2 linked regions of the Stegostoma tigrinum genome follow. The protein of the gene in region 1 binds, or shares a complex with, the protein of each later gene. Links are inferred from orthologs where the notes say so. Each region holds a gene or a part of one and is shown in the gene's direction. Other genes may lie near its edges. The genes, in order: stx12 and vti1a.

The links.
Region 2: the proteins of stx12 (region 1) and vti1a are in contact, whole or in part, in a crystal structure (PDB 2NPS), measured with the Rattus norvegicus proteins. The link is inferred for Stegostoma tigrinum from reciprocal best matches to the Homo sapiens genes STX12 and VTI1A. Residues at the interface, in NP_075228.2 of Rattus norvegicus: Glu185, Ile188, Gln189, Leu191, Glu192, Ile195, Leu196, Val198, Asn199, Phe202, Lys203, Leu205, Ala206, Ile209, His210, Gly213, Ile216, Asp217, Glu220, Val223, Glu224, Ser226, Glu227, Val230, Glu231, Ala233, Ser234, Asp235, Leu237, Gln238; in XP_038945999.1 of Rattus norvegicus: Arg131, Arg134, Ser135, Arg138, Leu139, Ala141, Gly142, Ile145, Ala146, Glu148, Thr149, Ile152, Gly153, Met156, Asn159, Leu160, Asp163, Arg166, Arg169, Ala170, Arg173, Leu174, Glu176, Thr177, Asn180, Leu181, Lys183, Ser184, Ile187, Leu188.

What each region holds. Positions count from the first base shown.
Region 1 is NC_081377.1:38,844,480-38,855,226, reverse strand, and holds the start of stx12 (syntaxin-12), read left to right. Parts: upstream 1-6,437; 5' UTR 6,438-6,545; exon of another isoform or gene 6,546-6,630; intron 6,631-6,792; exon of another isoform or gene 6,793-6,816; intron 6,817-10,747. UniProt on the Homo sapiens protein: SNARE promoting fusion of transport vesicles with target membranes. Together with SNARE STX6, promotes movement of vesicles from endosomes to the cell membrane, and may therefore function in the endocytic recycling pathway.
Region 2 is NC_081373.1:25,209,178-25,219,983, reverse strand, and holds the start of vti1a (vesicle transport through interaction with t-SNAREs homolog 1A), read left to right. Parts: upstream 1-6,662; 5' UTR 6,663-6,987; coding exon 6,988-7,081; intron 7,082-10,806. Other genes in the region: palmitoyltransferase ZDHHC6, read right to left, coding at 1,571-1,662, 5,527-5,823. UniProt on the Homo sapiens protein: V-SNARE that mediates vesicle transport pathways through interactions with t-SNAREs on the target membrane. These interactions are proposed to mediate aspects of the specificity of vesicle trafficking and to promote fusion of the lipid bilayers.

The sequences.
Region 1 (10,747 bases):
AGTATTACTGAGTTACAAAGTATGCAGTGGGGCTCCAGTTCTGTAAGTTAATGAAGGGGCACAATACATTGGGAAATTATTTGTTAGAAGTAAAGTCATTGAATGCCTATTTAAAGTCACTAAGTTCTGCTCGCAAATGTTGACATTTTAATTTTTCCAGTTGTACTTTTATCGAAATTCTGATTTTATCATACTCATGAGCCTGTAAAAACGAATTTATTTTGTAAACTAAAATAAACATGATTTTCTTTTATCGTTTCTGTTTTGAATGCAGGATATGCATAATCTAAGCTTTACTTGCAGAGTGTTGGATAACTATTGGTGCCTGATTATGAGCAGAGTTTTGTAGAGCTCTGTGTTGGGCCAATTACTGTTCATGTTTTCCATTATTGGTACAGAGGGAACTTAAACTGAAGCACCTTTTTCAATTGTATATGCCATAAGTATGTGTCTTGTAGTAACACAATAATTCTGTTTGCAGATTGATTTACATAAATTAGATGAGTTTGTGACTTGGTAGGTGTCAATTTCGTGGACAAAGATATTGCAATACACTCAGATTAGAAAACATCAACCGTATCAGTAGCAAAATCGTGTGGGCATTCAAGGTAGTAAATCAACAGAGTTTTACAAAGCAGAGGTTGACCTGCTTTCTGACGTACCTAGAGAAGCAGGCCTGGCCTCAATCTGATAAAGGAAGTGTGAAACTGCCTTGCACCGCCCAACCTGTTATAAAGGAATGGTTAAATGAAAGAAATTCCCGATACGCACTTCATACTTAACAAGGAACAATTTATTTATCTAACTCTTAACAGTGAATGAATCACAATCAAACTGTTAACAAATCAAACAATTCTCACTTAACGACTAACTAATCCCAAATAAAACAATTCTTGTGTCAGCAATATTAGCTAAGAGTGCCACTATACCCTTATTTAGATGATGCTTACTTTGAGAGCTTAGAGAATTCCGTGAGAGCCAGTGATTTTTGTTTTGGTTTGTTTGTTTGGTAAGTGATTTTCTCTTTAGAGCTGTTGATTGTTAACTCTTAATAGATAGCAGTTGCTTTCATGCCAATTTTCAAATATCATGAAACCAACACTGCTGGAACCAAAATTAACGTTTGTTTAAAAGCTATTGAAACCAGTCAACTCAGACGTAAAGAAACCCTTACCTTCTATTTTTATTTACATGTTTACACAAATTTTTCACATGTTGAAGATTGAAACTTGCTTCCAATTAGCAGACCTGTAGAAACTTCCACAAACAGAATATGCAAAAGGTGCTCCAAAGAGCTGTTTTTGTCAAAGCAGGGGAGATAGATTTTTGACTGCAACTGGAATCAACTGGAGAAAGTGCTGTCAGCCTCTCAAGAAGGAAAGTGCCTGGTCACACAACTAATTTAAAAAAGAAGCATCTGACCATTGAGAAAGAACAACTAAAAGATTGGCTACTGCTGAGAATGTAAGCAATTAATTATACAACCCATGGTGAAAACCATACGCCTCAAGAACACCAGGATTTTAAACTGCATGTTCCTTCTTTCACCTTGTACCTATGTGTACCTAAATAGCTGCCATGGAGCTCTGAGTTACAATAGCTGTGCTCCTGCTAACAGGCCCCCTATCAATTCCATAAATAGATTTATGCTGCATTTTCATTACTTTTCTTGAATTTAGCAGATAATAAGATTGCTTTCTTTTCCTCAAGTAAGACTAGTAAGTGCCTTCTTGCTGACTCAGTAAAGTCACCACAGTCCCAGAGGACTGTATGCTCATTAAAAAGTTGCTTGCTGGTGAGTTTAACCCAAGAGTTGCAATGCTTTAAGCAAGGGGAGTTGTTGAGAAGGTGGAATTTTCATGGTACCTTCAACTGGTGTAAGAATTGGACCTGCGCTGTTGGCACCACTGCAGTGCAAGCCAGCAATCCGGCCACTTGAGCCAACCTAGCCCTCCTACTGATACAGTGGACATTGGGTAACTACATTTTATTAGAGACATGGCCTTGGGTTACAAAATAATTTCAAGCATTTGTTGCAGCTGAAAAGGAGGTTGAAAAGAGCAGAGTCAATTATCCCTCCTAGTCTCATTGTAATAACCTGGAACCTAGCCATGCTGCAGAACAGCCAGACAGGCAAAGGTTGAAATAAGTGATCTTTGTGGTGTTGAGAGTCTGCGGTTTTGCAACTCAGGTCATGTTTGAATAAGCAGCAAATTCTCAAAATTCACACCTAAAATTCTAATATTTCTGCACCCCTCCGTCCAGATGTATATGTTTTTACTTTAGTTAATATTTTTGTGATAAAGAATGAGTAGGCTTTTACATGTCATTAGAGATTTTGTGACCTGTTTTTAACTGCTCCAACCAGTCAATCAGACTTATCATTAATATTTTGACAAGTTATTGAAGAATAGCACTCTCTTTTAAAAAAAAATCCGTATTTTTAATTTCCCCAGGGCTTTCCTAAATAGGGTAACAGGATGAAGTTTATGGGTTACATATTCCATGGCAGTGATAGCTGCCATGGAGTTCTGAGTTACAATAGCTGTGCTCCTGCTAACAGGCCCCCTATCTATCCCATCTCTGGCAGATCTAATCCTCCCCCACAACAACTAGGAAAATCTTAGAGGGTTGGCAATGCTGGGAAGGAGAAAGTGACTGGCTTTACAGAGCCAAGACTACCTACAAAGCAGAATTGGATAAATCCTTTGATGAGAAAAAAATTGCAGGACTATGGGAAAAGGAGCCAAAAATAAGAAAATTTGAGCAAGAAAAGAAACTAAGAGTTCTTACCCAACTTTCTGTATGCATCAGAAACTCAAACAATACTTAAAGATCTGTGGAAGGAAACAGTGATCTTTGAAATGAGGATGTGAGGATATGTGCCTAAAATTCCATTTATAGTCAAATAAAGGGGTGCTTGAAAATGTAACGTCAAAAAGAACCCCAAAAAATGACATTTAGGGAGGGAAATTGTCGGTATTTTTGTCAGTTGATCAGAGCTGGAAAACAATAGGGATCTCTCCTTGAGGGAACGTGACAGGGTGGATGATGTTTTCCCTTATGGGGAGAAACAAAGATTAGAAGATATAGTTTAAGATGATGACGACAGGGAAGCTTTTCTTTTAGAGGGTCATTAGTCTGTGAAAATCTTTTCCCAATAAAGTGGTGTAGGCAGAGTCATTGAATATTCATTTTAAGTTCAAATGCAACAAGATCGGGACAATAACCAGTTTTAGGCTGACACTTAGCAAATAACATTTGCACCACACAAATGCCAGACAATGACCACTGCCAATATGGGGACGTCTAACCATTGCCCTTCACATGCATGGTGTTACCATCACTGAAACCCCACTATCAACATGTTGGACTTGCACATAAATACGGTGACTTATTAAAGCAGGTCAGAGGCAAAGAATACTGTAGTGAGTAACTCCTGACTCCCCAAAAACTGTCCATCATCTGTAAGGCACATGTCAGGTGTGTGATAGAATAGTCTCCACTTGTCTGGATCCATGCAGTTCCAATAACACGCAAGAAGCTTGACAACATCCAGGACAAAGCTGCCTGCCTAATTGGCACCACATCCACTTCCTCCACCACTGACATTCAGTAGCAGTAGTGTGTACTATTTACAAGATACACTGCAGAAATTCACCAAAGATCCTCAGGCAGTGCCTTCTAAACCCAGGATCACTTCTATCTAGAAGGACAAAGGCAGTAGAGACATGGGAACACCACCTTCTTCAAGTTCCTTTCCAAGCCACCCATCATCCTGATTTGGAAATATATTGCCATTCCTTTACTGTCAGTGGGTCAAGATCCTGGAATTCTTTCTCTAATGGCATTGTGGGTCAACTCACGCCAGGGGACTGTAGCCCTTCAAGAAAGTAGTTCACTACCACCTTCTCAAGGGCAATTGCAGATGGGGAAGAAATGCTGGCCAGCCAGTGATGCTCATATCCCACAAATGAATACAAAATGAGGCTGAGTTAGGTGGATTTTTGATTGACAATAGGAGTCAATGATTATCAGGGTAAACAGGAAAGTTGACTTCAGCCACAGTCAGATTAGCTGTGATAAAATTTTATACAAAAGAAAATTATTGTGGTTGATGGAAGTGAATCATCACAGTCCTGAGAAATTGCTGCAGAAGTCTCTTAGAGTCGTGTTCCAGTCCCAACCACTATCAGTTGCTTCAATAGGGACCTCCCTTCCATTATAAGGTCAGAGATAGAGATGTTTGGTGATGATGACATAAGGTTCAGCGGCAGTCATGACTCCTCAGAAACTAAAATAGTCCATGACCATATGCACCAAGATCTGAACATCATCCATATTTGTGCTCATAAGTTGAAATTAACTTATGTGCCACACAAGGCAATGACTATCTCTAACAAGAGAATCTAACTTTTACCCATTGATGTACAATGGCATTACTAATATTGATTTTGCCACTGTTGACATCCTGGAAGTCAACACTGACCAGAAACTGAACTGAACAACCCCAAAAATATGTTATCAGGTCAGAAATTGAGAGTTCTGTAACCAGTAGCTGATCCCAAAGCCTATCTACAATCTGCAAGGTGCAAGTCAGGAGTGTAATGGGATATTTTTCACTCACCTAGGTGATTCCAACTCCAATAATATTGAAGAAGCTTGACACCACCCAAAAATAAAACAGCCCACATGATTGATATTCCAACCAGCCATTTAAACTCCACCACCAATGCTCAGTAGCAGCAATGTACACCATCTGCAAGAAGTAGTGCATCAACTCACCAAGCCTTCTACAACAACACCTTCCAAATCCAAGACCCCCAACAACTAGATGAATAAAGGCAAAAGATACAAGGGGGCACCATCCCCGACAAGCTCCCCTCCAAGTCACAGGTCATCCTCACATGGAACTATATCACTTTTTTTTAACTCTAATTGGAACAGACTCCTGAAACTACCTTCCTAGTAGCACTGTGTGTATACCTACACCAGTTTAATGTAGAGGTTCAAGACACCTTCTCAAGAGTAGTTAGGGATAGACAGTAAATGCTGGCCATTTAGTAACATCCACATCATATAAATGAATATGTTGGGGCAACCTCAAGGTGCCAAATGAATGACATCTGATCCTAATTCATGTATGTTCAGATGTTCTGGAGGACAAATGAAGTGCAGCAAAAAGAGCGGTCAAGCTCAGCATGTGGGATCATAATGTCATAGTGTGTTTACAGATGAGCAGCTGGAGATGTGCTCTGTCACAAACATAAAAACCATCATTTTCCAACCCCGGAAGAATTAGTCATATTGGGCTTGAAACAGCAATACTGTTTGTCTGCAGTTGCTGTCACACCAGCTGAGTTTCACCAGTATTTTCTGTGTTTGTTTCAGGTTTCTGAAATTTGCAATGTTTTGATTTTATTGTGACAGCAAAGCGTTCTCGTAAATGGTAAATCACCAAAGTCCTACTTGACTGTGGAGCAGCATTGTCATTAGAGGGAGATGACTGGAGATGGTTTACCCTGAGGGTCACCATGCCTCAGGCAAGAGGTGAGATTGAGAAGGGCCTCAATGGTCATATGAAGCAAAGATCTGCAGACGTAGAATATCTGAAACAAAAACAGAAATTGCTGGAGAAACTCAGGTCTGGCAGCATGTGCGGAGAAAAACAGAGTTAATGTTTCAAGTCCAGTGACCCTCCTTCAGGGCAAGGACAGCCCTTCATTGGTAACCCCAACTGGGGGCAGAAATTGAGCCCATACTGTTAGTATCATTCTGCATCACAAACCAGCCGTCCAAGCTAATTGAAATTAAACAACGAACTGTGGATGATGAAAATCTGAAACAAAAACAAAAATTGCTGGAGAAACTTAGCAGGTCTAGTAACATCTGTGGAGACAGAAAACAGTTAATGTTCTGACTCCAATGACCCTTAATCACAACTAAATTCTAATCTGAGTTGAGGTAATAGGAGCTGCAGATGCTTAAGAATCCGTGATGAAAGGGTCTAGGCCCGAAACGTCAGCTTTCCTGCTCCGTTCATCCAGCTCCATACTTTGTTATCTCTAATCTGAGTTGAGTGCTGATGAAGGGTCACGGGACTGGAAACGTTAACACTTGTTTCTCTCCGTGCAGATGCTTCCAGACCAGCCCAGTTTCTCCTGCAATTTGCGCTTGTGATCCAAGCTGACTGTCCTGGTACGATTACCTGCAGACAAGAGCATGGGAAAGTGAAAGCAGAAGCCAGCTTCCTTCCTGGAGTCGACACAGTGTGGAGCTGGACGAACACAACAGGTCAGGCAGCACAATGGAGCAGGAGAGTCGACGTTTCGGGCCTAGACTCTTCATCAGGACTGGTTTATAACATATTTATTGTCTCTGACCCCAGCATCTGGAGTTCTCGCTGGCTCACTCTCTTTCTGTGGTGTGGATGGGCTGAATGGCCTCCAAGGTGTGATTGACAGATTCCTGGTGACATCATCCCGCACGAGTGGGCGTGACCACGTCCGTGACGTTAAGCTCACGTGATTTTGTCGGGGCTTTCGGTGGGTGTCGGGAGCGGCGCTCCTTTGGTTAAGGTATACGCTGCGGTAGGAAACTCTCGGATAAAGCAGGCAGCCTTGGGTGGAGGTGTGTGTTATTTACTCTTCCGTTGTCGACAACACTTTTTGACCGGGGCCAAATAGTGTATCTATAGAGATAGGTGACCTGGCGCCTGCGCACTGGGGCGGTTGGGGTACATTATTTTGCAGCTCCCTGGGCTACCCAGCTGTTATTGGCCCTGGCCCTGGCCCTGGCCCGGGCCGATGCTCGAACGTGAGTGAAGGCGACTTAAAGGCAGCCAACGCCCTTTATAACCTGTTCGAACCTGACTGCTTTACGGAGCCAAAGGAAGCACCAGGGCCAAATTGAAGTGTTGAGTGTGGTGGATTGTATGGGCAAGCGGAGGGACTCCAATGGAGGATGGTGGGCGGTGGCCATGAAGGGACCTGTCAATGAGACGAGGGTTTCAATACTTATTTTTTTCTTAAAACAAAGAACCGAAAATCCTGGAGCTCTGAAACACAAACAGACATTGCTGGAAACATGTGCATGTACGACAGCCTCTGTGGAGAGAAAACAGTGTTAATGTTTTGGGTCTAGTTATCCTTCAGAACTATTTCTCCAGCAATTTCTATTTTTGATTTTGAATTCAGAGTTGGGGATGACTGTTTAGAGTTCAAGGGCAGAGGTAACACCTAAGTGCTACTCAGGTTTGGACTCTGAGGCATTGTTTGGAATCTTGATGAAGTGGTTATAAAAGAAGTTAATTTTAATGAGTTTGTGAAGATGTTCTGTAGGATACAGGATTGAGCTGTCTTGCCCACAAGGATGGCATTTTGAAGCTTGCATAATTCACTGTTTCTGGGTGGGAGTCTGTGACCATTCAGTCTGACTACTGAATGTTTAAAAGGCAAATTGGAGAATTATGGTAGCCAGTCTAATCCAAGCAAGCACAGCCTCAGCAAAAAATATAATTGGCCCTAACTAAGCTGTTAATACCTATAAATGTGGCAAATATTGATGTTGAACTAGCTCTATTGAAGCATGACCGTTTAACTTTGACAGTTACTGTGGACTTTGTTTCCAGTATTTTGACTTCTTTCAAATGTGATATTGCACCACCTCAACCCTGACAGCCCACTTGGATGTATTTGTGGTGTGGCTAAATGACCTAGGTGTTAAGTTGTATTTTATATTTTCAAAAAATTTTAGAGTCAGGGTGCTACTGGCTGGGCTAGCATTTGTTGTCCATCCCTAATTGCTCTGTAGAAAGAGTGCGAGAGATAGTAGGAACAGCAGATACTGGAAAATTTAAGGTAACAAGGTGTAAAGCTGGATGAACACAGCAGGCCAGGCAACATCAGAGGAACAGGAAAGCAGATGTTTCGGGCCTAGAATGGTCTAGGCCCAAAACGTCAGCCTTCCTGCTCCTCTGCTGTATTCATCCAGCTCTACACCTTCTTATATCAGAGTGCTAGGTTGCTTCTGGAATCTCTGGGTGTAGCCATACTCATAGTGGTATTAAGAAGGCCTTTTTTAATGTCTTCAATAAAATTTAATTCAAACTAGACCTCTTCTATTATTAGTCTCTTAACAAGTTGTCTCATTTTTGAAAGGTGAATCATCCTTAACTGACTAATTTTTTATGATTAGTCATGAATGAGAAAAGGCTGTTTTCCACTGGCCTCCAAACTCATCCTGTTAACAACACATGTAATATACTTGTCATTGCTACTAGTGAGCCAGATTAGAGCACATTTGAGCAATTATAAATGAGCTGTTATAATTAGAACAGGAAAGATACCTTTGTATCATTCATATTCTCCAGAATATGGCACTATTTCAGTTACTACTGCAGTTACCTCTTTTTTAGGAATGTGGCTGTTGCATTGCCTGAAAACAATCTGCTGTCGCTAGTGAGTTGAAAGAACATCACACTGAAGTCAGTGGACTGTTCCTGTATTTCAATATGTCATGCTGTGTGAACTGTTAGGTAAACATAGCTGCAATCGTTTTATTTTCAAAGTTGTTAATGATCACATTCCTGGTCTCTGAATTCATAAGTAGATTGCCAGATCCTGTATTTATGAATACACCACAAACATTTAATATAAAGACTTTTCTTCCTATATTTCCCTTCCTTCCTGAAAGTGCCTTCTGCTTTATCGTTTTGATTCAGATATACAGCTGACACCTGTTCTGTCATCCTTGATGTGTACATTTAACAGTGAACTTCATTAGTTAATGATTTGGAATGAGAATTTAGATTGATTATCTCCTTTATGAACCACTGTTTTCATTGAGATTGGCTAATTTGGCACAGGTTGTGAATTGAACTGTGATTATTCTTTTCTTAATTTCACATTACAACGGATTGAAAAGCATTTCAGTCAGGGAAGTAAAGCAGACTGAGCGTAGATCTGACAGATGTGCCCTGGTAGCAGCAAATTGCCAAGTTGTCCTGTTCACATTTAGATTGAACTTTCACTTTGTTCACAAGTGACTACATAAGTATACTGCTGTAGAGAGTTACCAGCTGAATTTTTCACGCGAAGTTCCATCTTTTAAAGGTATTATGGCGACACAACAGAATATCGTGCTGTCAGTTGGAACAATTAATATTTGTTCTGAATTATCTATACACCTTTGGAATTGTAGCACTTGTGCATTCCAAGCATGTTGCCATTTGCTCCTTGGTTTAAAAGTAGGAAAAGGGAATCTGAGACAATTTTACCATAGTGATGGGTTTGTGGTGGCCACAGGGCAAGGAATTGCGACTAGCTAAAATTGCTGTGCCAGAGTTCCAACGCTGCCCAAAGTGGCTAACTGGCAGTCTCCTGTATAATAACCTGTGGTGGTTCAGTGGTTAGCATTGCTGTCTCGGCACCAGGGAGCTAGGTTCAATCCTACCCTCGGGCTACTGTGTGCAGTTTGCAAGTTCTCTCCGCCTCCACCACCACCCCCTTCCCCCTCTTTGCATGGGTTTTCTTCCACAGTGCAGGTTAGGTGGATTAGCCATGCTAAATTGCCCATAATGCCCAGGTCTTTACAGATGAGGTGAATTAGCCATGGGAAATGCAGGGTTACAGGGATAGGGTAGGGGGTTGGTCTGTGTGGGGTTTTCTTTGGAGGAGGGGTGTGGACTTGATGGGCTGAATGGCCTCCTTTCACACTATAGGTATCCTAAGATAACCGTTCTAACTGAATCACTTGTTACTGTTTGGCCTTTCCACTTTGTTTTAATCTGAAAAAATAATAGGTGGAATGGGAAACTAACTAGAAATGAAGTCTGCAAGAGGACTAAATCTAGAGTAGACAACCAGGAGTCAATAGCCAGTGATAGTCTCCATCTCGGATTTTGAAAAGAAACTTCATTGCACCTTTCACAGCATTCACATTTTTAACACTATTTTTACATACAAATATTGGAATAATATGTTCAATTCTGGTCTCCCTCCTATAGGAAGAATGTTGTGAAACTTGAAAGGGTTCAGAAAAGATTTAAAAGGAAGAGGCTGAATAGGCTGGAAGTAATTTTCCTGGACGGTCAGAGGCTGAGGATGATCTTGTAGAATTTTATAAAATCATGAACAGGGTGAATAGTCGGTGTTCCCCACAGGGTGGGGGAGTCCAGAACTAGAGGACATAAGTTTTAAGGTGAGAGGCGAAAGGTTCAAAATGGACCTGAGGGGCAACTTTTTCACACTGGGTCGTGCATGTATGGAATGAGCAATGACAGGAAGTGGTGGAGACTGGTACAATGACAACATTTAAAAGGTATTTGGATGGGTATATGATTAGAGGGATTTGGAGGTATATGTCAAATGCTGGCAAATGGAACTAGATTAATTTAGGATATCTGTTTGGCATGGATGAGTTGGACCAAAGGGTCTGTTTCTGTGCTGTACAGCTTTGACTTTTTGTAAGTGAAATTGATGCTTCAGCAAATGGCCTAATTCATTTCACTATTTAATTACTAAACACAATCTTTGCTGCATGAATTGTCTGGATTTTGTGGTCATTAGTGAAGCAAAGGCATGCACTGCTGACCTTGAAGCAAGCTGCCTTCCAGGATCTCTCGAGTTTCCTGACAATTTCAACCTGATGCCTAGTCAGAGGATGTGTTGAGGTCCAATTAAGTCAGTGAACCAATCACATTGAAATATTCTGGACAGCATCAAACCAGGAAGTTAAAATTACTTGG
Region 2 (10,806 bases), on another chromosome or scaffold:
AGTAAGTATACAATGGTATACCACTATGCTGCTACCTTTGTTGGGGATACCCTGGTGGTGGGACTTGGCATATCCAGGGATGGTGACAGTATCTGGGACATTGAGTACGATTATGTTGCTGTTGCTAACTAGTCTATGAAACAGTTCTCCCAATTTTGGCACTACTCCCCCACATTTAATGGAGGAGGACTTTTCAGCAGGTTGATTTTACCTTGTTACTGTTTACAACATTGGTTTCCTTATTTATGAAAGGATGTAATTGCATTGAAACAGTTCAGAGAATGTTTACTAGATGAAACAGGAAGCACATCCCACAGTGATCTGATTAAAACATACAATATCCTGAGAGAGGTCTCGATAGGACGCATGTGAAAAGGATGTTTCTTCTTGTGGGACAATTTAGAATTACGGGTCATTGGTTCAATGCGAGCAGTGCCAATGATCAACCATTTAAAACACAAATAAGAAGAAATATTTTGTCAGAGTACTGAGTCTTTAGAACTTCATTCCACAAAAGGCTGTGGAAGCAAATTTCTTTGGTATTTTTAAGACAGAGATACATAGATTCTTGGCAAACAAGTTGTGACAAGTAAATGTTTACCAGGGGTACATGGACTAATCAGATTGCCTTTATCTTATTGAATGTTGGAGCTAGATTTAGCGACCGAGTGGCCACTCCTGTTCCCAATTCATAGGTATGCACATATGTTTTAATGGAACTACAGAGCTTTAAAATGATGCCAATGAATTGCAATAAAATTTAAACACAAAATGTAAAAGTTACTGAAAGCATTTCAGTGCGATTCAATTCTTGAACCCATTACATGAATTAGTGAATATTACAGTGGATGTAACAATTATAATCTAGTTGCATACATTTATCTTCTAACTATAAGCAATGCAATTTGGTTAAATTGGGAAGGGTTAAAGTTTACTAAACTGTATCAGTCTGAATGGAAAATAGCTGCAAATACACTACAGTCAGTCGATATCTAAACAGACAAGTTAATTTAGACAAGGTATTTGCGCGTAAAGTATTAAATAGTGATAACAAGGTGTGGAGCTAGGTGAACACAATAGGCCAGGCAGCATCAGAGGAGCAGGAAAGCTGACGTTTCGGGTGCGAACCTTTATCTCAGACTCCAGCATCAGCAGTTCCTACTATCTCTATCAAATAGTGACTTATCTTTTCAGATGCTGACAATATGTGCCGTACTTCTTTGATATTGCAGATTGTAGCTGGAGTTTTTCTATTTTTATATTTAGTGTGAATGCATCATACCTCATCTTGGAGGTGACAAATGCCATCTGCCACTGGGTGTAAAATTGATCTTTACCATCACAAAGCCCACAAACAAACCTTGCGTTACCTGATTATGTTAATTCTGAACTCTTTATAAGAACCTCTAAGAAAAAGAACAAAAGTAGAAACAGCAACAAGAATGTTTTCAACAAAAGGACTGAAATAGCTCTCTTGTTGGAAGATGTTCCTTAATTTCAAAATATTGCCAAGCTGTATAAAACAAGATCTTACATTTGTGTTTTTCTGTGTAAACTAGTCCAACCATACCTGTTACATTTACGACAATGATGGGACCGTGGTGCCTTGTAACCTTGACAGATTCTGCAGTCCTGAAGATACATTGTATCCTGAGGGTTGTCCTTGAACAGAACAAGTAGCTAATTACAACAATCATAGTTGATTTCAGTATAAGAATATAGAAACTGATTACATGCAAAGAGGATGAATGGTTCAGTTATTGTGTCTGTGTCTGTGAAAGAGAGTGAGGACAGTGCGAGAGAAGGTGCTGTTTGCTTTGTGTTACTAATTGCCTGCATCATCAGAAATGTTATCTTACATAACAAAGTTACATGTCAAAGTAGGACAAACATACATAGCATTCTCAGTAGATTTACTAACAGATTTCAGTTACTGCAACAGATGATTGAGGATGGTGTGGATTAGGAACCAGGCGACCTACATAAGCAATGTAGCTCAGTGTGGTATAAGTTCAGATCCAAATGAGATAAGGAGACACTTGCGAAGAAATAATAGACCAGTTGGTCTAATATCTGTTCAGACTTTTACACATTTGTTTCAGCAAGCCCCTTAGGCATTGTATTTGTTCTAAGTGGTGGCTCAGTAGTTAGCACCGCAGCCTCGCAGCACCTGGGGCCTGGGTTTGATCCCCATCTCGGGTGACTGTCTGCTTGTGTGGAGTTTGTACGCTCCCTCTGAGTCTGTGTGGGTTTCCTCCAGGTGCTCCAGGACCTGTCCACAGTCCAAAGATGTCCAAGTTAGGTGATTGGCCACGCTAAATTGCTCATAGTGTCCTGGGGTGTGTATGTTAGGTGCATTAGCTACAGGAAATGCAGGGTTACAGGGATAAGGTAGGGGAGTGGGTCTGGGTGGGATGCTCTTCAAAGTGTTGGAGTGGACTTGTTGGGCCAAATGGCCTGTTTCCACATTATGGGGATTCTACGATTGTAAGAGAAGACAAAAACATCATGATAGATGAATTGCAGAAATATTAATGCAAAAATAAAGCAGAGATAGGAAAACAAAAGTGGCACACAACATTGGAGCAAATTACTGCAGATGCTGGTATCTGTACGGAAAACAAAAAATGCTGGAGATCACAGTGAGTTCGGTAGCAACTGTGGAGACAGCAAGCTAATGTTTCGAGTCTTCAACAAACTTGAAGTGAAGTATGGAAGGGCAGCATTTATGCAATGCCTTGTTTGGGGAGGGGGAGGGCAGAGGTTGCTGGTGTGCGGGAGGAGAAAGGACATGGATAGTTCAAATTAAGCGATAGGAACGCCAGAATGGCAGAACAATGGTGTGTCTAACTGCTAGAGTGGAAAGAACGGACAGTCCCACTGGAGTGGGGGAGGGGAGAGATTTTCTACTCCGAGTTTATCCTGTGAATTATATTTAAACAAGTACATCTGTTCCCCCTTCTGCTGCGTTTTCAGAGATGGTGTTACAATAAAAAAAGTTTACAAAATTTCTTTTTATTCCCAGAGAACTTAGTATGGAACTCTCGGAGCTAATGGTTTATTACTCTATTTTTGGGAGTGAAATATCTTACTTTTGATGCTTTATGTCAGCTTCAGAATTTCCGGTTTGTGGGCTCCAGCTGCCTTGTCACTATGGATATGCAATCCTTTTATGTGTCCATCCTCCATCAGGATAGACTCAGGGCTCTCCACCACTCATTCTAGGAGAAAAGGCCTGAATTGTCCCCATCTACCACCACAACCCTCCTCCATCTGCTGAGCTCGTCCTCACTTTGAACAACTTCTGCTGTCAATCCTTCCACTTTCCTCAGGTCCAAGGGATGGCCACTTCTACCTGCATGTGCACATTTCTTGTTCCTATTCCACTGGCATGCACCTACAACTCTTTTTCCAGTATATTAATATCAGTGCTGCTTTCCTTTGCCATCCAGAATTGGAAAAACTAACCAATTTTGCTTCCAAGTTCTACTCTGCTCTCACCTTCACCTAGCCCATCTTTCCATGACATCTGTTTTCATTTCTTGGGACAGGCTGGCCATCAACATCCACTACAAACCCACTGACTCCCATGATAACCTCAACTACACACCCTCACTCTGCTTCTTGTCGGCTCTCTTCCATTCCCCCACTTCCTGCAACTTCATCACATCTTTCCTGATGATGCCAACTTTGACAAGGAGCCCTTTGATACATTTATCTTCTTCCTCAACCAATGACTTCTCGAGCACTGTGATTGACAGGGCCCTCAGCAGGGTCCAACCCATTCCTATACTTCAGCCCCAAGTGCATCTTCCCTCCCATTGGAGTGCAAGGGTCCCCCCCGTCTTGTCCTCACCTATTGTCCTACCGATGTCTACATCCCAAAGGATCATCAGCCGCATTTCCGCCACCTCCAGCAGGATGCCAACACCAGAGACACAATTCCCTCAATCTCCTTGCCAGCCTTTTGCAGGGACTGTTCCCTCAGAGACATCTTAGTTCAGTCCTCCCATGCTCCCAATATCTCCCCCGACTCCTACAGTACCTTTGCTTGCAATCGCAGGAGGGGTAACAGTTGGTCATTTACTGCCTCCCTCCTCAGTATCCCCACACACCTCCCAGGCGAAGCAGTACTTCACTCATTCTAGTCTATTGTATTCGCTGCTCACAACATGGTCTCCTCTACACTGGGGAGGGGAAGTGTAGAATGGATGACTGCTTTGCAGAATACCTACATTCTGTCGACAAAAATGGCTTAGAGCTTCCAATTGTCTGCCATTTCGACACACTATCTTCACAGCCCAACATTTCTGTCTCAGGTTTCCTACAATGCTTGAGCAAAGTTCAGCATGAACTGAAAGAGTACCACCTCATTTTCTGCTTGGGAACTCTGCAACCTTCTGGATACAATATATTGTTCAATAACGTTTAGGGTCTTAGCACCTTATTCCATCTTCTTTCCTCAACCCCACACACCGGGCTGTCATGTAGAATCCTACCCCACACAACCTAAAGTCAATCACTAATGGATCCCATTAGCAGGTACAGATTCTTCCAGGATGACCTGTACCCACATTTCTTTGCCTGCCCAACTGTTTTTCCTCTCTATATAGGCTCCATTTCTACCTATTCTTTAGGCTTTTTCCCCTAACCCAATCTCCTTTCTAGCACAAATATCAAATTTTTCCTACTTTCAATCAGTTCTGAAGAAGGTTTACTGAAACTGAAACATTAACTCTGCTTTCTCTCCACAGATGCTGCCAGGCCTGCTGAATTTTTCCAACAATTTCTGGTATTGTTCATCTTTCCCCTTTTTGGTGTTTCTCCACAACATATTGAGTAGCTTGTTGGCCAATTGTGAAATACTGCTGTGGTTGCCTGTCTCCTTTGCAACCTTGGGGAAGCTCTGTTCAAACCCCAAGACACTGAACTGAGTACAAGGGGGATTGAGCCACATGAGGCAACCTGCTGGTCTCAGCTGGGATACAGCAAATTAATTAGGAGGTTATGTCACTGAACATTTCACAGGGCTGTCACTGCAGAGAACTTGCTTTGCAAAAATATTTGAAACTGCTATCTAAGTTATTGGTTGTGATTAGTGAGCAGTTGGCCACAAACAGTAAAACTTGACAGACTGGGAACTAAATATGAAAAATCAGGACAAGTTTACTAATTCTTCAGTCAAAAATTGTCAGACTAGGCAGAAAATCAATGTGTTATCACCAAGATGGGCAAGTTTGCAATATAGTAGCAAGCTTAGATGACTCATGTGTTAAATGGCTGTAATGATTGCTAGGAGCATCAAACAGCAAAGACTTACCACTCAAAACGTATGTTCAAAGAACCCTGATCTCTACTCTCATCTAATTTAATCACCATTATATCAGACACACAACCAAAGAGTTAGCGTTACATGTGTTGTAGAAATCTTGTAATAGTTATCTCCTTTCAGCTCTTTACAGCCATTGTAAATTTAACATTTGACAAGAAAAAAAAATTAGGGAGAAAGAGCAAACATCATCTTACCGGTTTCCATCCAATTGGAACATAGCCAGGACCAACAAACATTGCATTAAAGTAGTTGTAAAGTATAAGAACTGTCCAGTTTATCAATAAAATGAAATTTATGCTTCCACCAGGAGTGTCAAGAGGCCAATACCAAAGTACTGAGTCTATAATGGCCATGGAGGAACATATTGTAATAACTGACAGGGCTATAATTGGACCCCAGTGACAAATTCTTTTCAATTCATGTAAATTTTCAAATTTTATAAATGAACACATTGTCTTTGATTGAAGACAGCAATACTCTTCAGTTAACATGCAGCAACCATCATAATGCACACAGTTACACTTAATGGAAGTAAGAGTCAGGCAATGAATAATTCTTGCATCCAGAAAAAAAGCAGGGATCACTTTTGATTGATAAATAGGGAGAGTTTTGAACAAATTCTGTGAACCGCAACTTTCACCTCCAGTAAATTCCCCATGATATTACTTTAGATGCAGTGCTTCTGTATGAGCTTGAAGCTTCTCATGCGGTGTCCTCAAAAAGATATCCTAGTGGGATATAAAAAGAGTGAAGTATGTTTAGAGCTGAAGTAAAAAAAACACAACTCCACCCTTATAATCAAGACCTTGATTCAGTCAATTACTTACGGGGATAGAGAAGAAAACACAGATTCTGGCTGCTTGCGGCTGGAGCTGGCCTGAGGAGTAACCAGAGGCCTGGATGTCAGAGAGTCAGAGAAACGGGAGCAGCCAAACGTTAGCTCGACTGCCATCCATGTCCCCAAAACCGCCACACAGCTTCCTCCTTCCGTCTGGCTGCATTCGTGCCCCGGAAGCATATTGTGTCTTTGATAACTCCAGGAGGAGGGCGGTTCCTGGAGATTAAACATGATCAGACAGAGGGGGTTAACCGGGCGGGTGTTCAAGGTGCGAAGCCCTGGCCGGTATCCCTATCAACCCGAGATGGAGGAAGGGAGGGCGGACTGGGCCGGTGACAGGCCGGATACCCGCAAGTGGAAGTCACCGATTTAAAATATGACGGCAGCGTGTTAATTCCAATCCTGGAGCTAATTTCCCTCTCGGGGGAGGGGGGGGGGTGCGGAATAGTTTAAAAGTTTTATTTCTTCTTTCCCTTCAGCCACCAACCGTCACCGTAAACCCGCCACTTCCGCCGGTGCCACCCACAACCGCCTCCCCCGCCATGGCTCACATTTTTATAAATAATAAAACAAAACTTATCGGGGAGAAGACTTTCTCTTGATTTTCACTCGCGACCACTCCGGTCGAAACTTCTTCAGCCCCTTTCCATCTATAAGTGTTTAAAGACAGCAGACTTTCCGATCTGTCTCTCTCTCTCTCTACCAAATGCTGGGCAGTTGGTGGGGGAAGGACTTTCCGGGCGGCACAGCGAGCGAGTAGAGGAAGCGGCCGCTGCTCCTACTTTAAACTCTTCGACCGCTGTCAGTCTCACAGAAAATGTCCTCGGATTTCGAGGTTTACGAGCAGGATTTCGGCACCTTGACAGCAGAGATCACCAATAAAGTGGGGAGGATACCGAAACTGTCAGGAGGTAGGGAGGCTGTTCTGCTGGAAAACACTTTTCGTGTTTGATCGGTGTTGAGGAGACAGAGCTGAAGGATGACTGAACCTCGTCGTCCAGGGATTGGTTTCGCATTCTGATGATGTCTTAAATGCGATATTAAAAAGAAACGAATTTTACAGTTCGAAGCCTTTTTATGTAGAAACAGAAGTAGGTGTTGAGCGATCGGAAGGCAAGGTTGATTTGAGAGCAACGGTGTTAATTATTCATAAGCAATTAGAGTTGAACGAACTGCATTGAAGTGGGTTGTATTTACACAGTCAGAGTGTGTTGACACGCACCCTATCATCTAGACAGAACATCACAGTAAGACCGAAACTTCTACTCGCTCAGCATTCGTACATGGCTACTTTTGAGTAGAAAATGCAGGCTAACAGTCAGAAATGTTAATCTGGTTTATTTTACCCCACTCCTTAACCTGTCGTTTCTGAGGACATTTTTTTAGAATCTGAAACAAAAGCAGAAAGTGTTGAAGAAATTCAACAGGTCCAGGAACATCTGTGGAGGCAGAACATTTGTTGTTGCAAATCTAATGTCTCTTTGGATCTTTGGTTGAAATTACAGATCTGCATTTTTAAAAGGAGGCTTGGGCTTTCTCCCTGTGGGTGTCCTAATTGCTTGCTCAGAACGACATATTAGTATCAGGACATGGATGAGGGTTGGGAGAGGGCGGTGACATTTCAGGGTAGGCATGTGGGTAAGTGACTTCTATGATAAAGGCCCCATCCCCTGTTGAAATTAAGGATCAATTATTTTCTTCAGAAGAAAATATCTAAACTGAATTTGGTTTTACTTGGGAAGAGATAGTTAAGCATGGATGTGATGTATTTGTTTACTTTAATTGAAATGCATGTCTAATCTGATTACAGATGTTAGAACGCTGAAGTGTAAACAAAATGTAGAAAGTACTCAGCAAGTCATGTAGTATCTGTGAAGAGAGTAAACGTTTTGAGGTGTGTATGACAGGATAATATGTATTTATACTTTTTATTTAATTAGTTTCAAGCAAAGGCAAATACGAATGAATGATTTTATTATCACATCTGGGAAGATATAGGGGAAAGTGTTTCATTGTCACAACTTGGTGATATTTTGAGCTGCAAAAAGAATAAAAAGAAATTACTGAAATAGAGTTCATCTTCTGTTCAAATTGGGTCTCAAGCATGGCACCATGGTTTCTGCAAGATGTTCTGAGCCCCATGAGACCCTGCTCTGGATACAGCAATGCCAGTGCTCCAGGAGACCTTAGCTCCACTGCTGCCATCACCTCGTTGACACAGCAAAGAGTCCCTGCTCCGGACACAGCTAAGAGTCCAGGCTCTGGGATTACCGCAGCTAGGGGTCCTTGCTCTGGGCCTTTCGTCATCAGGTGTCTCTGCTCTGGACACTGCTGTTGCTGCCAAAAATCTCAATCCATGCTGCAGCTACCCCTCCTATTAACACCACTCTGACCTCAAAGATGAAGGGGAAAAAGAAAAAGGAAAAAGAAATGAAAAGGAGAGGGGGAGAGAAGCATGCCGCCAGTCTGGAGACTGACTGAGGAGCCCGACCACCTACCTACTCTGCCGATGCCGCTATCTTGAGTCTATTTTAGATATTTAATTATCTTAAACATTAGAATATCAGCATTTTCCCCCAGAGTTTAGTGAAAATGAAGCAGAGTAGTTTTCCTGGAAATAAGTTAACATTATCTTGTTCACTTCCTTTAAACATATTTAATAAATATCTACTTAATTAAGTCGAGACACGTGATCAGGTAAACAACAGGTTCTGCTGTGTCTATAACACATTGCTGAATTTAACTTATTAAAGATTCCCAAAGTTGCGTTCATGTTCTGGAGTGTTGCTAATTTAACGTGAGACCTTAACATGCCTTTCCCAGGAGATTGAGAAGTTTGATTTGGTGAGGTAAACCTGATAGCGCAGAACAGGCCCTTTGGCCCTTGATGTTGCACCAACCTGTGAACTAATCTAAGCCCATCCCCCTACACTATCCCATCATCATCCATATCCTTATCCAAGACTGTTTAAATGCCCCTAGTGTGGCTGAGTTAACTACATTGGCAGGCAGGGCGTTCCACACCCATACCACTCTCTGAGTAAAGAACCTGCCTCTGACATCTGTCTTAAATCTATCACCCCTCAATTTGCTGCTATGCCCCCTCATACAAGCCAACGTCATCATCCAAGGAAAAAGACTCACTGTCCACTCTATCTAATCCTCTGATCATCTTGATTGTCTCTATTAAATCCCCTCTTAGCCTCCTTCTCTCCAATGAGAACAGACCCAAGGCCCTCAGCCTTTCTTCATAAGGCCTTCGGTCCAGACCAGGCAACATCCTGGTAAATCTCCTCTGCACCTTTTCCAATGCTTCCACATCCTTCCTGTAATGGAGCGACCAGAACTGTACGCAATATTCCAAGTGAGGCCGCACTAGCGTTTTGTACAGTTACAGCATGACATCACGGCTCCGGAACTCAATCCCTCTTCCAATAAAAACTAACACACCGTATGCCTTCTTAGCAGCACTATCAACCTGGGTGGCAGCTTTCAGAGACCTATGTATATGGACACCAAGATCCCTCTGCACATCCACACTACCAAGAATCTTTCCATTGACTCGGTATTCTGCCTTCCTATTATTCTTCCCAAAGTGAATCACCTCACATTTATTTGCATTGAACTCCATTTGCCACCTTTCAGCCCAATTCTGCAGGTTATCCAAGTCAGCCTGCAATCTGCAACATTCTTTCACACTGTCCACCAGTCCACCGACTTTAGTGTCATCTGCAAACTTATTAATCCAGTTTACGAACCCTTATGACCCATTCACTTTGCATATTTTTATAGTCCTGAATGCGGCAAAGAAACTCCTTTATTTTGACCATAGCGTGAAGCAAAATTTAAGAATTTTACATTTACTGTTCAGTTATTATTTAGCAGTGAGATCCCTTTACCCATCATATCTAATGCATTTAGAGTCATATGGTCATAGGGATATACAGCACAGAAACAGACTCTTCAGTCCACTTGTCCATGCTAACCAGATATCCTAAATAAATCTAGCCCCATTTGCCAGCATTTGGCTCATATCCCTCTAAAGCCTTATTATTTATATACTCATCCAGATGCCTTTTAAATGTTGTACCAGTGCCCACCACTTCCTTTGGAAGCTGATTCCTCACACGCACCACCCTCTCTGTGAAAAAGTTGCCCCTTAGATCCCTTTTAAATCCAAACATGTGCAGTTTAGGTGAATTGGCCATGCTAAACTGCCCATAGGGATGTGTAGCTTAGGTGGGCTATAGGGGGATGAGTCTGGCTGGGATGCTCTGAGGTTCGGTGTGGACTTGTTGGGCCGAAGGGCCCGTTTCCACACTAGGGATTCTATGAAATCTTTCCCCTCTCACCTTAAGCCCATGCCCTCTAATTTTGGACTCCTCCACCTCAGGAAAGACCTTGCCTATTTACCTTATCTGTGCTTCTGTGATTTTTATAAACCTCAATAGGGTCACCCCTCAGCCTCCAATGCCCTAGGGAAATAGCCCTAATCGATTCAGCCTCTCCCTTAGTTCCAACCCTTGAATTCTGGAAGCATCCTTGTAAATCTTCTATTTTGTCTTTAACAGGTAGCTTGGAACAGCAGAAAGCTCTTTAGAAGGAGAAGACTTGGCTATTTTCTCTATTCCTAGAA